Linked DNA regions of Canis lupus familiaris. The protein of the gene in region 1 purifies or fractionates together with the protein of each later gene. This does not show direct contact. Links are inferred from orthologs where the notes say so. Each region holds a gene or a part of one and is shown in the gene's direction. Other genes may lie near its edges.

Region 1 (4,030 bases):
GGATAGTGACACAGGAAGGTTAATGTGGACCTCCCGATGGTGGGATCAAAGGTGCTTTCTATTTTTCACCATTTTCTCAGTAAGAAGAAACAGGTTTGGCAAACTGATTTTTTTTTTTAAGATTTTATTTATTTATTTATTTATTTATTCATGAGAGGCAGAGACACAGGCAGAGGGAGAAGCAGGCTCCATGCAGGGAGCCCGACGTGGGACTCGATCCCGGGTCTCCAGGGTCACGCCCTGGGCTGAAGGCGGCGTTAAACAGCTGAGCCACCCGGGCTGCCCTGGCAAACTGAATTTAAATAAAATATTAAAAAAGAAAGAAAGAGGGGAGCCACCTGGGTGGCTCAGCGGTTGAGCGCCGGCCTTTGGCCCGGGGCGTGACCCTGGAGGCCCGGGATCCGATCCCATACCGGGCTCCTTGCATGGAGCCTGCTTCTCCCTCTGCCTGTGTCTCTGCCTCTCATGAATAAATAAATAAATAAAGTCTTTAAAAAAATAAAGTAAAAAATAAAAAAGAGAGAAGGAGGGGAAAATAGTTTCCCTTTTGCTCCCGGAGCGGCTGCACGCAGGCAGTCCCTCGGCCCCCGCGGAGCCGGCTCGGGGGCAGCCGCGGCCCGGGCCTGCCGGTCTGGACTGTGTGTCGCGGGGAGCGGGGGTGCTGCAGACAATAGACGTGCAAACATCAGGTTGGTGACAACGAGGGGCGGGGACCGGCTCCTTTCGGAGGGTGCCCGGAGAGCCCCTAGCGCGCGCGGCAGCGCTCGGAAAATCAAAGCGCTCCCCTGCGGGCCCGGCCCCGCCCCGGCCCCGCCCCGGCCCGCCCCGGCCCCGCCCCGAGCGGACGGCGCGTGCGTGCGCGCTCTCGGGGGGCGGCGTGCGCGCGCACGCGCTCGCCCCCGGGCCGCCCCCTCCCGTCCCCTCCGCTCCGCTCCGCTCCGCTCCCCTCCCCTCCCTTCCCCTCCCCCGTGCAGCGGAGGATGCCGCCGAGGAGGAGGCGGCGGCGGCGGCGCGCTCCGGCGGTCTGAAGCGGCGTGCGGCTGCCACGGGCCGGCGGCGCGATGAGCTGGGCGGCCGCCCCCGGCTCGGAGCTGTGAGGGGCTCGGGGCCGGGGGTGGGTGGCGGCGGCGCGGCGGGCGGCCCGCGCTCCTCGGCGGCGGCGGCGGCGGCGGCGGCCATGCGCGGGGCGGCGCGGCAGGGGCGGCGGGGCCGGGGCCGCCTCCCGGGGACCCGCGGCCTCAGGGCCCCGCCGCCGCCGCCGCTGCCGCTGCTGCTCCTGCTGGCGCTGCTGCCGCTGCTCCCCGCGCCCGGCGCCGCCGCCGCCCCGGCCCCGCGGCCTCCCGCGCTGTCGCCCGCGGCCGCGGGGCCCAGCGTGAGCGTCTACCTGAGCGAGGACGAGGTGCGCCGGCTCATCGGTGAGTGGGGCCGCCTGCGTCGCGACGGGCAGGTCGGGCCGACCCCGGGGCTTCCGGCCGCCCGCGGCCCAGTGCAGCCCGCGCCGCCGCCCTGCGGACCCGCCGCGGAGCCCGCGGCCACGCCGTGCCGCCTTCCCCGCGCACAGCCTCCAGCTGCCAGCTTCTCCGCCCCCCGCTTGTCATCCAGGGCCCCGGTCCCGGGCTCCTCCAGGTTTTACGCGGACCAAACCTGCAAGCCCTTTGCCCCAGTGCAGGCCAACGATGCTGTTGCTCTTACTTTCTGGTTATCTTACCTTTCTTTTTTTTTTTTTTTAAGTATTTATTTATTTATTCGTGGTGGACACAGAGAGAGAGGCAGAGACACAGGCAGAGGGAGAAGCAGGCTGCACGCAGAGAGCCCGACGCGGGATTCGATCCCAGGACCCCGGATCAGGCCCCGGGCCGGGCCGAAGGCAGGCGCTCAGCCGCTGAGCACCCCCCCCCCCCCCCCGGGCATCCCGTTATCAATACTTTTTAAAAACGAGATGGGGAGGAGCGAGAGGTTGGAAGGGCACACTACGAGTTCGTGGCAGTCTCCAAACCTTGTGACAGATAAGCATATTTTTTAGATCGTGGGTGAATCTCCGGGTAGCAGACCTGTTAGCGTCGTTCGGTTATCTTTTTGGTTTCTTGTCTTGGATATGTTGGGCCGTGGGCCACCCTCGTATTCTGAATTCCTTGTAGGGAAAGGAGAACTTAGTTTTGGGTCAGTTGGTTGTTCCATTCCACCTAATTAGCTTTGTCGTTTGGGGGATTAATTTGAGAAATAATGGTGTCCTTGTACTGAGACTGGATTCTGGAAATGAGCCCTCAGAGGGAGGTCTGATAAAAATGGCCCCAAATGGGAAGTCTTTGGTAGTTAGGGGTATCTAGACATTCTTGGCGTGTTAGACTTTTGTATGTTGTGACACTAAATATTATTCCTCCTCCTCTGAGTGATGGGAGGGGAAATTATTATTATTATTATTATTATTATTTTTGATCACCCATTATCTATTTTTATTTTTATTTTTTAAGTTTAGAAGACTTTCTTGAAGTCGATTCAGTGTTGAATGGTGTTGCTTTTAGCAGTCTGTTGAGACGTTGTTACATATATGGGTTTCTAGTCTATAATCAAAGGAGAATGCTGTGTTTTTGTAATGTCTTGCCCCTCTTAGTCCCCTTTTCCGTATAGCTGAATTAGCTAAATTTTGTTGAGATGAATTAAAACTGGAAATTAGGTTAGTACTCGGAACATAAAACTAAGGTTTAGGAACGATAATGAATGCTCACAGATAGACTTGTATCTCACGATTATTTTAAAAATATTAATGCATTCTGCATGATTTTAAAGGTTTTTTGGTTAAAAGCTTGTATATGATTTGTGACTTTGTTCATATGTAAGAGTACATGTTAGAAACCTGCCAGGTGGGGGTAGGGGGCTGGGAACAACCAGGCTGACATTGATTGAGTGCCTGCTATTTACCGGCCCCTGCATGTTTTATACGCATCATTTCCTCTCATTTTCTTGTGACCCAGTTAAGTAGATACCATTATTCCCATTTTATTAAAAACATTTTTTTTTTCTTTTAAAGATTTTATTTATTTGACACACAGAGAGAAAGCACCAGCAAGGGGAGCAGCAGAAGGAGAGGAAGAAGTAGGCTCCCCTCTGAGCAGGGAGTCCAATGAGGCGCAGGCCTTCTCCCCAGGAAGGCAGGATCCTGACCTGAGCCCAAAGCAGACGCCTAACCGGCTGAGCCACTCCATTATTCCCATTTTAGAGTTGGAAGAAAGTGAGGCTTTATGTGACTTTCTCAAGGTCACACAATTCATAATCATTAAAGAAAAAAAATTAAACATAGTGTTGACATAGGCCACAAAGTTTTATTAATTGTAATGAAGATATTGTTTACATAGAAGTTTTATTACAGCGTGGTGGAAAAGAAGTCATTACTAATTAATACTTGAAATAATGTGTATGTATCTGTCACCTGACTGAAGAGGATCCAGTTTATGCCAGGAATGGGCTGTTGGGAGGAGGGGAAGGAGGAGTGCCTCACTGATCAACCTCTGGGGCAAGAGAGACCTCCAGTCGTATTTTTTCTAATGCAGAAGGAGTTGACCTGTTACAGTATGTCTTTTTGACTCCCCTTCTTGCCAGATTCAGGGGCATCTCCCTCATCCACTGTACCTTTAAAGTTTCTTGGCTGCTCCTGTTTGGGGAAGAACAAGTGGGTAGGACTCAGATGTCTACCAGGCATCTTGAGTTCTCAGACTGCAGTTTCTCACAGAAACCCTTGCGGTGCTTAAGACTACTTGAAATAATAGTTTGTACTATATTTCTTTTTTTTTTTTAATTTTTTATTTATTTATGATAGTCACAGAGAGAGAGAGAGAGAGAGAGAGAGAGGCAGAGACACACAGGCAGAGGGAGAAGCAGGCTCCATGCACCGGGAGCCCGACGTGGGATTCGATCCCGGGTCTCCAGGATCGCGCCCTGGGCCAAAGGCAGGCGCCAAACCGCTGCACCACCCAGGGATCCCTGTACTATATTTCTGTATCATTGTGGGTTAAATGCCTCTGAAAGCTGACTT
Region 2 (4,052 bases), on another chromosome or scaffold:
TTGGAGCCAGCAGGCCAGATTTACTTCCTTGTCCATTTTTGTTGCCTTTGTTTCCTTGGGATTCATAGGACCCTGATTCTGGGCCTTTCCTTTATCTTTCCCTCTCTAGCCCCTTCTATCCCTAACTCAATAGCACACAAGTGAAAATCCCAGTGGTTTGCAGAGTGGTTAACCAGGCAAGTATGGGGATTCAACAGATAACTTCCTTTGGATGAAGTTATTTAATCATGCTAGTAATACCAAAGAGGACTCCTCCTCAGGTTAAGCCTTCCTGGAAGAGGTAGCAGTTGAGAAGAGTTGTAATTTAGGATTTTAGAATTCTATGACTGGACCTAACCTTGTAGATCTCTTAACTTGTTAAGACTGCGGACCAGAAACTGTGACATTCTGAAGGCCCCTCAGCAGCTAGTTGGTATCAGTGTGGCCACCCTGCTCACCTCCCAGATTTATGCTCTTTCCACTTCGCATGCTGTTCTGCAGGTGAGAAGGTCAACATTTGCTTAGTTACTGACGGTGCCTCTAAGTCTTCATTCACACCCAGCCTGATCCTGTAATTCTTACAATTGCTGGAGATCCAGCAATTCTCCACCGCTGAGCCACCCATGTGTCCTGCCTTTTTTAAAATTTTATTTATGTTATTGTTTTATTAAAATTCAATTTGCCAACCTATAGTAAACACCCAGTGTCCATCCCATCAAGGGAAGGGCCGCCTTTTGGTGTTTGAGCCAAACGTCCAGGAGATAGGTTGGTTTTTAGTTTCAGAATGTAAACGAATTTTAAAGATATTTATCTTTATCTCTATGTATCTTTAAAGATCTATATATAGAGAGATAAAGATCTACTTTTTAAGAGAGCCACGGCGTCCGCGGGGTGAGGAGGGGCGGGGCTCGGGGAGAACCGGGCTCGGGCTCCGCAGGGAGCCGCGGGTCGGGGGCTGCTGGCTGGGCTCTGGGATCGTGACCGCAGCCCACGTCGAGGGTGGGGGGTGCATCCGACTGCGCCACTTGCCGGGTAAGAGCAGAGACCCCCGGGCCCCCCGGCTCCCGGCCTCAGTTTGCAAACTCACTCTCGCGGGAGGCCAGGTCCCACCTCTGGAAGGCGGGCTCGGAGCAACGCGTGGGCGGACCCGCAACCTCCGATTGGTGCGGGCGTTGCCACGCGCGGGGCGGGGCACGGCCCTTCCGAGGGGAGCGGCGAGGGCCGGGCCGGACTTCGGGGCTCTGCACGCGCGCCTGGCCGGGTGCGCCCCGCCCCGGTGTCTTCCTTCGCGGCGCGGCCCCGGGGGCCTGGGGCTGGTGCGCGCGGCCTCCGCTCGTCTGGCGATGGCGCACGGGCCGCCGCTCCTGCTCCTGCCCGCGCTCCTGCTCCTGCCGGCGCTCCTGGTCCTGGTCCTGTGGTTCGGGACGGCCAGCTCAGGTAGGCAGGGGGGGGGGGGGGGGGCGGGGGGGCCGGGGGCGCGGCGAGGCGGGGAGGCCTGGGAAGTGCCCGGGATCGAGACCCGGGATCGAGACCCGCCTCGGGCTCCCCGCACGGGAGCAGGGAGGGAGCAGGGAGGGGAGCCTGCTTCTCCCTCTGCGCCCCCCGCCGCCCCCCTCGCCTCCGCCCCCCCCCGCTTCCCCCCACCCCCCCCCGCTTCCCCCCACCCCGCCTCCGCCCTCTGCCTCTGAGTCTTCATTCACACCCAGCCTGATCCTGTAATTCTTACAATTGCCCCCCCCCCCGCCTCCGCCCCCTGCCTCGGGCTCCCCGCACCGGAGCAGGGAGGGAGCAAGGAGGGGAGCCTGCTTCTCCCTCTGCCCCCCGCCCCCCAGTCTCTCTCTCTCTCTCTCTCTCTCTCTGTCTGTCTCTCATTGATAAATAAATAAAATCTTAGAAAAAAAAAAAAAAAGCAAAGTATAGGGATGCGGGGGGTGGGGCGAGTAGGAGAGAAAGCAAGAAAACGCTCCCCCTCCACCTGCTGGTGAAGGGCAGTGGTCTGCGGAGGCTTATCCTAAATGACACGGAGGGGTTTGTATGGATCCAACAGGAAACGAAAGGCAGCGAGGCAGATGAAGCGTCGTTTAGACGCGCTGCCAGTTCTTAACCGGTATGTGAGGGGCTTAATGGAAATCGCAGGCGAGAAAGTGTTGATGGTCCGAGGGCAGAGAGGGCCTTAACATTGCGCCTCCTGTTGAGACAGTGTCTAACTTCCTTCCGTGAGAAGCTAGTTGAAAGCTCCATTCAGACGAGATCGGGCGCGTTCACATTGCTTGCAAGTTTCATGAGCTGAAGGAAAAGATAGATCGTCGTTCTGGAAAGAAGCTGGAGGATGGTCCCAAGTTCTTGAAATCTGGGGATGCTGCCATTGTTGATACGGTTCCTGGCAAACCTATGTGTGTTGAGAGCTTCTCTGACTATCCTCCTCTGGGCCCTTTCGGTGACATGAGACAGACGGTTGCTGTGGGTGTCATCAAAGCAGTGGACAAGAAGGCAGCTGGAGCTGGCAGAGTCACCAAGTCTGCTCAGAAAGCTCAGAAGGCTAAATGAATATTATCCCCAATACCTGCCACCCCAGTCTTAATCAGTGGTGGAAGAACGGGTCTCAGAACTGTTTGTGTCAATTGGCCATTTAAGTTTAATAGTAAAAGACTGGTTAATGATAACAATGCATCGTAAAACCTTCAGGAGGAAAGGAGAATGTTTTGTGGACCATTTGTTTTTTTGTGTGTGTGTGCGTGTGTGGCAGTTTTAAGTTATTAGTTTTTAAAATCAGTACTTTTTAATGGAAACAACTTGACCAAAAATCTGTCACAGAATTTTGAGACCCATTAAAACAAAAGTTTAATGAGAAAAAAAAAAAAAAGAAAGCTGCATTCAGAGGTCATAGAATAGAAGTTAAAAATAATAAGATGTCACTTGAGACTTAATAAATTGGCCAGAGTCCACTGGGATGTGCCAAGTGGTGCTGGGTGGACGGGTGGGGATGTGGGAATTTAGGAGACCGGCGGGGTGTCCATCACTGGGGCTGGGGATGAGCCAAATGTGGGTTTGCATGTGGAGAACTCACTACCTTCCACCAGTGGACTAGCTGTACCCACTTCTCATTACCTTCTACCAATGGACTAGCTGTACACGCAGCAATGAGACAGGATTTGAAGCAGTTGCGAAGAGCAGAAACAGTGACAGGTAACTCCAAACCATTTTCGTAAGTTTGAGAAACAAAACAAGGCAGTGTTAAAGAGAACGAAAACAGAAGCTTTAAACATCTTAGAATGGTAACCTGTTAGGGAAGGGAGATGGATATTAAAAAAAAGGGTAAATGGTATTTCTGTACACTGGCAATGAGCAATTCAGAATAAAATTAAGAAACAATTCGATTTTTGACACCACCAGAAAGAATAAAATACTGCGGAATGAGTTTAACAAAAGAAGCACAACAGTTTTACTCGGAAAACTGTAAAGCTTTTTCTTTTTCTTTAAGTATTACAGTTTATTTAATGGCATTAAATAATAATCATCATCATTACCATTAAATAATCATCAAATTAGCAACGGTAATCATCAAATTAGCAACGGTTATCTTCAAAAGTTATTACACTAGGTTTGCTGTCATTTCTCAAAAAAAAATCAGACGCCTTGAATCAGACATTTCCTACATAAGATGCATCTTATAAATCAGAATTGGTCTATCACCAGCACTGATAAAACCAGACCTAGGGAAGGAACTAAGTCTGGGGACACATGCATGGTCTTAATATAGCAAATGTTTAGCCTGCTCTGATTATTACAAAATCAGAACAGTGAGAATATTCGTGGTTGACAAAAATTTAAGAGGATCTAAATAAGTGCGATCGGAAAACATCCTGTCTTATTAAGTCTTTTTAGGCCACCCTAACAAATATCTTAGAGTGAGTGGCTTAAACAACAGATTTATTTCTAACAGTTCTGGAGGCTGGAAAGTCCAAGATCTAGGTGCTGATTTAGTTCCTGGATAGGGGCTTCCTCCTGGCTTGTGGAGTAGTTCCTGGATAGGGGCTTCCTCCTGGCTTGTGGAGCAGTACCCTCTTACTCTA
Region 3 (3,562 bases), on another chromosome or scaffold:
TTTCTTTCCTTTCTTTCCTGATTTTATTTATTCATGAGAGATACAGAGAGAGAGGGAGAGAGAGAGGCAGAGACACAGTCAGAGGGAGAAGCAGTCTCCCTGCAGGGAGCCCGATGTGGGACTCGATCCCAGGTCTCCAGGATCACGCCTTGGGCCAAAGGCAGGCGCTAAACTGCTGAGCCACCCAGGGATCCCCGCCTGCAGAATTTTCTTGCTAGAAATCGGATCTGCCCAGTTCAGGAGTTTGCCAGACAAAAGAATAGGAGAGCATTTCAGCGAGGGATCCTGGTGGGAGCAGCACCCACAATGGCATCAGAAACGTAGGAAATCTCAAGGATGGATCAAGTCAGGGTGGCCGGGCTACCGGTGGTGGTAGAGGGAATGTTCGAAGAGGAGTTTGAGGCGTAGATTTTAGCCAAATCACAGGATGTACTTAGGTTTGGGGGGCAGGGTTCTCTAAACATTGGAGAACTGGAGTGTTCTTTAAAACAACAAGATCAAATTTGTTTCTTGGAAGGAAATTCTGTTGGGAACGTGGACATAGGATTGGAGAGACATTGACATCAAGAGAGAAACTTTGGGATGAATTCTTGAAACAGTTTTTTTTTTTTTTTTCTTAAGATGGCTAATTATTTGCCTCCTGAGTACATAGATTTATTTTTTATTGAATGCTGAATAATTTATAATTTAACAATCCCTGATAAAATATGTAAAACACTCCTTGATCAGCCCCAAATCCAGCTGTTCTATTTGTTACCATGTTTTTCTAACCTGATTTCTAACATATTTCTTAGTCTCAGGGGTACTTGGGCTGAGATCAGAGTTTGCTTGAATCTAAGTTTCTATTAAGTCTGTGTTCCTTTTGTTTGTATGGAGTCTGCATTTCTTTTTGTTTCTGTTAAGTCTGAATTTCTTTTTGTTGACAGTCTGAATCCATCATAAATCACCTTAGAGTTCCATAAGTCCAAATTAATTAAACTCACATTTGTGGTAGGCCGCGTTGGTGCTTCTGTCTATAATTGATTGTTGTAAAATTGATAGAGTGATCGCCCAGACCCCTGATCTGTTTAATGCTATCGACTTCAGCAGTAGGTGTGTTACCATGGGAAAATTCACTTTCGAGTGTGAAGTAATTCCTTGTTTACTGCTTTAACTCTTGGAAATACAGTTTGCATTTCTCTGTAGTCTCTGCTGCTTTTCTTCTGTGCTTCTGTGTGGTGTCCAGATATCTCCTTTAACTGATAAATCGTGCTCACTGTTAAGTATCGTGCACATCACATTCAGCAGCCTGGCCAGCGGCATACAATCAGGGACAGCTCGTAGCCGTCTGAACTGTCCTTTCTGGTTTCTGCATGCTCACGTGCCAACTTTCTTTGTGTTTTTCATGTGTGTTCAGAATACGATCGTCGAGGCTTCTATTCAGCTTCCTCCCTCCCTTTTCTCGCCAAAGCAAAAAAGGGAAGTCAGATCACCTGATGACTCTCTCTACAAGCTCCAACTCATCGCATTCCGCAACGGAAAACTCTTCCCAGCCACTGGGAATTCCACAAACTTGGCTGATGATGGAAAGCGGCGTACGGTGGTTACCCCAGTGATTCTCACCAAAATAGGTGTGTTCGGTGGCATATGTTCTTCCTGTAGTGACCGGACAGTGGAACTCTATGATAAGCTGTACCAAAAAGTGCTTATTTTTGTTCCTTCTCCTTTTAATGAGTCCCTAGTAAAAAAAAAAAAAAAAAAAAAAAAAAGAACTGCAGAGTGCCCATTGGTGTATAAGTCGACATTTAATTGTTTCTGAGGTTTGTTTCAGAAATCTTTCCATCTCCCATCTTCTCCAGATGGCGTGAATGTGGATACCCACCACATCCCTGTTAATGTGACACTGCGTCGAATCGCACACGGAGCAGACGCTGTGGCCGCCCAGTGGGATTTCGATCTGCTGAACGGACAAGGAGGCTGGAAGTCAGATGGGTGCAATATACTTTACTCGGATGAAAATATCACTACCATTCAGTGCTACTCCCTTAGTAACTATGCAGTTTTAATGGTACGGCAGTTGTTAATTTCATACATGAACACTAAATTTCTTAATTGTTTCCCCTATGCATTTAGTTAATCTCGAAGATTTTTTTTTTAAACTTTCAATATAAGTTGTTGACTTTAGTTAAGAGGTGATATTTGGTGTAATTCTGAATTTAAAGGGAATTTAAGTTACTACCAAGTACAATGTATGGGATTGAACTTGGTTATAAGGATTTTCAGTCACCTTTATAAGGGGATCAGTTCAACTAAACTTTGAGCTTATAAAAAAAAAAAAAAAAAAAAAAACTTTGAGCTTATGAAAATTTGGAGACATTTGGGGTTTTATATCGTCCAACTCTTAGTCAGGAATGAGTGACTCATTTGCCCAAATACACGGTGCACAGTGAGATTTTTCTTCTTTGCCAGCTAGCACTTTTCCCCACGATACATCCTAAGTTTTAGACTCATGAATTTAGAGTAGTGGTGGCAAGTTCAATTTAGTCACGGTAAATGACAGTATTGACATGGGTCATGTCTTTCTGCCTTTAACTCTAATCAAGCTAATGTTATTTTCTGTTATTCACCACTGTTCATACCTGTTAGTCTTTGGTAGCCAATTTCTTTAGTCTTGGGGAAACTAAAATGTGTAGATAGATGTACATAAACGTGTGTGTGAACATACAGAGACCGTTCTTTTATTAACGAGTTACTTAAGTGAACCTGGTTCCCAAGCTGGTAAGTGTGAAATGAGCCATAATACTTTAATATATTTTATGCTACAGTATATACATGGAGTATGTGGGCAATGAATTTGGAGAACAGTGAAAGGAATTACTTATGAATCTGAAAGACATTTTAGAGAAATGGCACAAGGCTAGCGTGGGAGCGAGGATGCTTATGTTTCTGTTCCTGCCTCCAGCTCTGAATCTGTTATCTAGACAGTATTTTATCAAAGCACTAAATAATCTTGAAACAGGATATATCTTAGCTTTCGTAAATTCTCCTTTAAAAAAAAAAAAAAAGCGCAGGGCACCTGGGTGGTTCAGTCAGTTCAGCGTCTGACTCCTGATTTTGGCTCAGGTCATGATCTCAGGGTCCTGGGATCAAGCCCTGCCTCTGACTCTGCACTTAGCAGGGAGTCTGCTTGATAGTCTCTCCCCCCGCTTCCTCCTCCCCTCCCCTGCTTGTGCTCGCTCGAGCACACATGCGCTCTCTCTTAAATAAATTAAAAAAAAAAAAAAAAAAAAAAAAAAAGCTCATTTACCACTAGAAATGATTTTGAAGGCAGCTTGAAGTGGAATAGAATAGACTTTCCTGAACTCCTTTTTTGGTTTTCTCTTCGCACCTCAACTAAGTACATGCCTTACCCAGCATCTGGTGAGACAGACAGACGAGGAAATATATTGTTTATATATTGTTTAGCAGGGCGTGAGGATTGTCTTCAGTGACCCCCATTAATACCTCGGTTATTTAGCTCAGCTGACAGTGGGTGGAGTCTACACTAGTCAGACTCAGCATATTTGTTTAAGTCATTTATCCT
Region 4 (4,094 bases), on another chromosome or scaffold:
CCAGCACTGGGACTGGGAGGAAGGAGAGGGAGCGTGCAGGAGAGAGGGAGTGGGAGAAGGGGAAAGGGGAAAGGAGAGGAGGGAGGAGAGAGAGGAGGAGGAGGAGGAGGAGGAGGGAGGAGAGAGAGGGAGGGAGGGGAGGGATCGAGAGAGAGCGGGGAGAGAGAGAGAGAGGCTGCAATCTCCTCCCTGAATCGCGCACAGCGCTGCAGATCCCAGTGCTCCGAATTGCGGGCCGAATGCAGGTGAGGAAAGGCACGGACTCTGCGGCTGCGAACCCAAACTTGGGCACCGCGCGGTGCGCACGGCTCAGCCTTCGCCCCCGCGGGCGCACGGCTGCTGCGGTTTCAGGCGGCGGCTTCGTGACTAATGACCTTGCGCAGAGTTGTTAAGAAAAAAAGAGAAACCCGAGCTCTTGGGGGTGAGAAGGGACTGACTCTCCGGGCGTCTCTGAAGATGGCTCGGGCTGCTCTTCGGCGCGCGGGGGGGACCCGGACGCGGACCGCCGTGTGACGCGAGTGGTCTCCACTGCACGGTGCCCGAAGCGACCGACCTGCCAGGGATTTTTTTTTTCTTTCTTTCTTTTTCTTTCTTTTTTTCTTTTTTTCTTTTTTCTTTTTCTTTTCTTTTTTTTTTTTTCCCCCCACCGTTTCATTCTCGATCCGCTGCCTGGCTCCCCCGCTGCCAGAGCGGAGTCAGAGTTCAGACCGGCTTGTTGCTGGCCCCAGCGCCTCGTGCAGGAAGCAACTCACGTTTGCCTGGGCAGCCGGAGCAGGAGCTGGGTCTGGAGTGAGTGGCTGAAACGTGAATCGGACTCAACTCGAGTAGCAGCAAAGACGAACGGGGTTGGCAGGCGGGGGAGGAGGCTGCAAGCTTGCTCCCCGCCGCTTCCCGGCTCCAGCGCCCGCCTGCCGGAGCGGTTCCGGCCCCATCCGGCCGAGCGGGGGTTCGGGAGCCCGGGATCCTCCGCCCGCCGCGGGGATGACTCTGGAGGGGGGCGGGGGGGGCGCCGAGCCCGCGGCGCGCAGTGTCCCGTGAACTGTGAGTGCTGCGACTGAACGGCGGCCGGCGAGCGGGCGATTAGCACCCATTGCATGAATTATGAAACAATAACTTTCGGAAGAAGCAGAAGGAGGCGGAAGAAAAAAAAGAAGAAGAAGAAGAAGAAGAAGGATCTGTCGCCGGTCCCCCCCCCCCCCCGCCCCCCGCGCCCGGCCGACTCCGCACGCTGCTCTCGCCCCCTCCCTCCTCTCCCTTCCTCCTTTCCCGGAGCCAGAAGAGGACCGGGCGGAGGGCCGGCGGCCGGCCCCGGAGGAGGGGGGCGCCGAGGGGGCCGTGCCTAGAAGGAGCAGTAGCAGCAGCAGCAGGAGAAGATGCTGAGGATGCGGACCGCGGGGTGGGCGCGCGGCTGGTGCCTGGGTTGCTGCCTCCTCTTGCCGCTGTCGCTCAGCCTGGCGGCCGCCAAGCAACTCCTCCGGTACCGGCTGGCCGAGGAGGGCCCGGCGGACGTCCGCATCGGCAACGTCGCCTCGGACCTGGGCATCGTGACGGGCTCGGGCGAGGTGACTTTCAGCCTCGAGTCGGGCTCGGAGTACCTGAAGATCGACAACCTCACGGGCGAGCTGAGCACCAGCGAGCGGCGCATCGACCGCGAGAAGCTGCCCCAGTGTCAGATGATCTTCGACGAGAACGAGTGCTTCCTGGACTTCGAGGTGTCGGTGATCGGGCCCTCGCAGAGCTGGGTGGACCTGTTCGAGGGTCGGGTCATCGTGCTCGACATCAACGACAACACGCCCACCTTCCCGTCGCCCGTGCTCACGCTCACGGTGGAGGAGAACCGGCCGGTGGGCACGCTCTACCTGCTGCCCACCGCCACCGACCGTGACTTCGGCCGCAACGGCATCGAGCGCTACGAGCTGCTCCAGGAGCCCGGGGGCGGCGGCGGCGGCGGCGGCGGCGAGGGCCGGCGAGCCGGGCCTGGCGACAGCGCCCCCTACCCCGGGGGCGGCGGGAACGGCGCGAGCGGCGGCGGCCCCGGGGGCTCCAGGAGGCGCCCGGACGCCCCGGAGGGCGGCGGCGGCGGCGGCGGCGGCGGCGGCGGCGGCGGCCCCAACCCCGGCCCCGGCGGCCGCAGCAGCGTGTTCGAGCTGCAGGTGGCCGACACCCCGGATGGCGAGAAGCAGCCGCAGCTGATCGTGAAGGGGGCGCTGGACCGCGAGCAGCGCGACTCCTACGAGCTGACCCTGCGGGTGCGGGACGGCGGCGACCCGCCGCGCTCCTCCCAGGCCATCCTGCGGGTGCTCATCACCGACGTGAACGACAACAGCCCCCGCTTCGAGAAGAGCGTGTACGAGGCCGACCTGGCGGAGAACAGCGCCCCCGGCACCCCCATCCTGCAGCTGCGAGCCGCCGACCTGGACGTGGGGGTCAACGGGCAGATCGAGTACGTGTTCGGGGCGGCCACCGAGTCGGTGCGGCGGCTGCTGCGCCTCGACGAGACGTCCGGCTGGCTCAGCGTCCTGCACCGCATCGACCGCGAGGAGGTGAACCAGCTGCGCTTCACCGTCATGGCCCGCGACCGCGGGCAGCCCCCCAAGACCGACAAGGCCACGGTGGTGCTCAACATCAAGGACGAGAACGACAACGTGCCGTCCATCGAGATCCGCAAGATCGGGCGTATCCCGCTCAAGGACGGGGTGGCCAACGTGGCCGAGGATGTGCTGGTCGACACCCCCATCGCCCTGGTGCAGGTGTCCGACCGCGACCAAGGCGAGAACGGCGTGGTCACCTGCACCGTGGTGGGGGACGTGCCCTTCCAGCTCAAGCCGGCCAGCGACACGGAGGGCGACCAGAACAAGAAAAAGTACTTCCTGCACACCTCGGCCCCCCTGGACTACGAGACCACCCGGGAATTCAACGTGGTCATTGTGGCGGTGGACTCGGGCAGCCCCAGCCTCTCCAGCAACAACTCCCTGGTCGTCAAGGTCGGAGACACCAATGACAACCCGCCCGTCTTCGGCCAGTCGGTGGTGGAGGTCTACTTCCCCGAGAACAACGTCCCCGGAGAGAGGGTGGCCACGGTGCTGGCGACCGACGCCGACAGTGGGAAGAACGCAGAGATTGCCTATTCTCTGGATTCCGCCGTGATGGGGACCTTTGCCATCAACCCCGATTCTGGGGACATCCTGGTCAACACCGTGCTGGACCGCGAGCAGACCGACAGGTACGAGTTTAAAGTTAACGCCAAAGACAAAGGCATCCCAGTGCTGCAGGGCAGCACCACGGTGATCGTGCAGGTGGCCGACAGGAATGACAATGACCCTAAGTTTATGCAGGACGTCTTTACCTTTTATGTGAAGGAAAACTTGCAGCCCAACAGCCCTGTGGGGATGGTCACGGTGATGGATGCTGACAAGGGGCGCAATGCAGAGATGAGCCTCTACATAGAGGAAAACAGTAACATTTTTTCCATCGAAAACGACACGGGGACCATTTACTCCACCATGTCCTTCGACCGGGAGCACCAGACCACATACACGTTCAGGGTCAAGGCTGTGGATGGGGGAGATCCTCCCAGGTCGGCCACGGCCACCGTCTCCCTCTTTGTGATGGACGAGAACGACAACGCTCCCACAGTCACCCTTCCCAGAAACATTTCCTACACTTTACTGCCACCTTCGAGTAATGTCAGGACAGTGGTAGCCACCGTGCTGGCAACGGACAGCGACGATGGCATCAACGCAGACCTCAACTACAGCATTGTGGGAGGGAATCCCTTCAAGCTGTTTGAGATTGATCCCACCAGCGGTGTGGTTTCCTTGGTGGGGAAGCTCACCCAAAAGCATTACGGCTTGCACAGGTTGGTGGTGCAAGTGAATGACAGCGGGCAGCCCTCCCAGTCCACCACGACTCTGGTGCATGTGTTTGTCAATGAAAGTGTTTCCAACGCGACTGTGATTGACTCCCAGATAGCCAGAAGTTTGCACACCCCGCTCACCCAGGATATAGCCGGTGACCCAAGTTATGAAATCAGCAAACAGAGACTCAGTATTGTCATTGGGGTGGTTGCTGGAATTATGACAGTGATTCTGATC

What was found.
Region 2: the proteins of RYK (region 1) and NCR3LG1 purify together in Homo sapiens (affinity purification with mass spectrometry; 3 studies listed by BioGRID and IntAct, counting the BioPlex papers as one, with this or other methods). This does not show direct contact. The link is inferred for Canis lupus familiaris from reciprocal best matches to the Homo sapiens genes RYK and NCR3LG1.
Region 3: the proteins of RYK (region 1) and ADGRA3 purify together in Homo sapiens (affinity purification with mass spectrometry; 3 studies listed by BioGRID and IntAct, with this or other methods). This does not show direct contact. The link is inferred for Canis lupus familiaris from reciprocal best matches to the Homo sapiens genes RYK and ADGRA3.
Region 4: the proteins of RYK (region 1) and PCDH7 purify together in Homo sapiens (affinity purification with mass spectrometry; 3 studies listed by BioGRID and IntAct, with this or other methods). This does not show direct contact. The link is inferred for Canis lupus familiaris from reciprocal best matches to the Homo sapiens genes RYK and PCDH7.

What each region holds. Positions count from the first base shown.
Region 1 is NC_049244.1:31,574,217-31,578,246, reverse strand, and holds the start of RYK (tyrosine-protein kinase RYK), read left to right. Parts: upstream 1-1,177; coding exon 1,178-1,415; intron 1,416-4,030. UniProt on the Homo sapiens protein: May be a coreceptor along with FZD8 of Wnt proteins, such as WNT1, WNT3, WNT3A and WNT5A. Involved in neuron differentiation, axon guidance, corpus callosum establishment and neurite outgrowth.
Region 2 is NC_049242.1:40,592,425-40,596,476, forward strand, and holds the start of NCR3LG1 (natural cytotoxicity triggering receptor 3 ligand 1), read left to right. Parts: upstream 1-1,248; 5' UTR 1,249-1,322; coding exon 1,323-1,416; intron 1,417-3,663; exon of another isoform or gene 3,664-3,795; intron 3,796-4,052. UniProt on the Homo sapiens protein: Triggers NCR3-dependent natural killer cell activation.
Region 3 is NC_049224.1:88,004,097-88,007,658, forward strand, and holds part of ADGRA3 (adhesion G protein-coupled receptor A3), read left to right. Parts: intron 1-1,396; coding exon 1,397-1,610; intron 1,611-1,838; coding exon 1,839-2,047; intron 2,048-3,562. UniProt on the Homo sapiens protein: Orphan receptor that may have a role in planar cell polarity pathway.
Region 4 is NC_049224.1:80,974,836-80,978,929, reverse strand, and holds the start of PCDH7 (protocadherin-7), read left to right. Parts: upstream 1-1,252; 5' UTR 1,253-1,373; coding exon 1,374-4,094.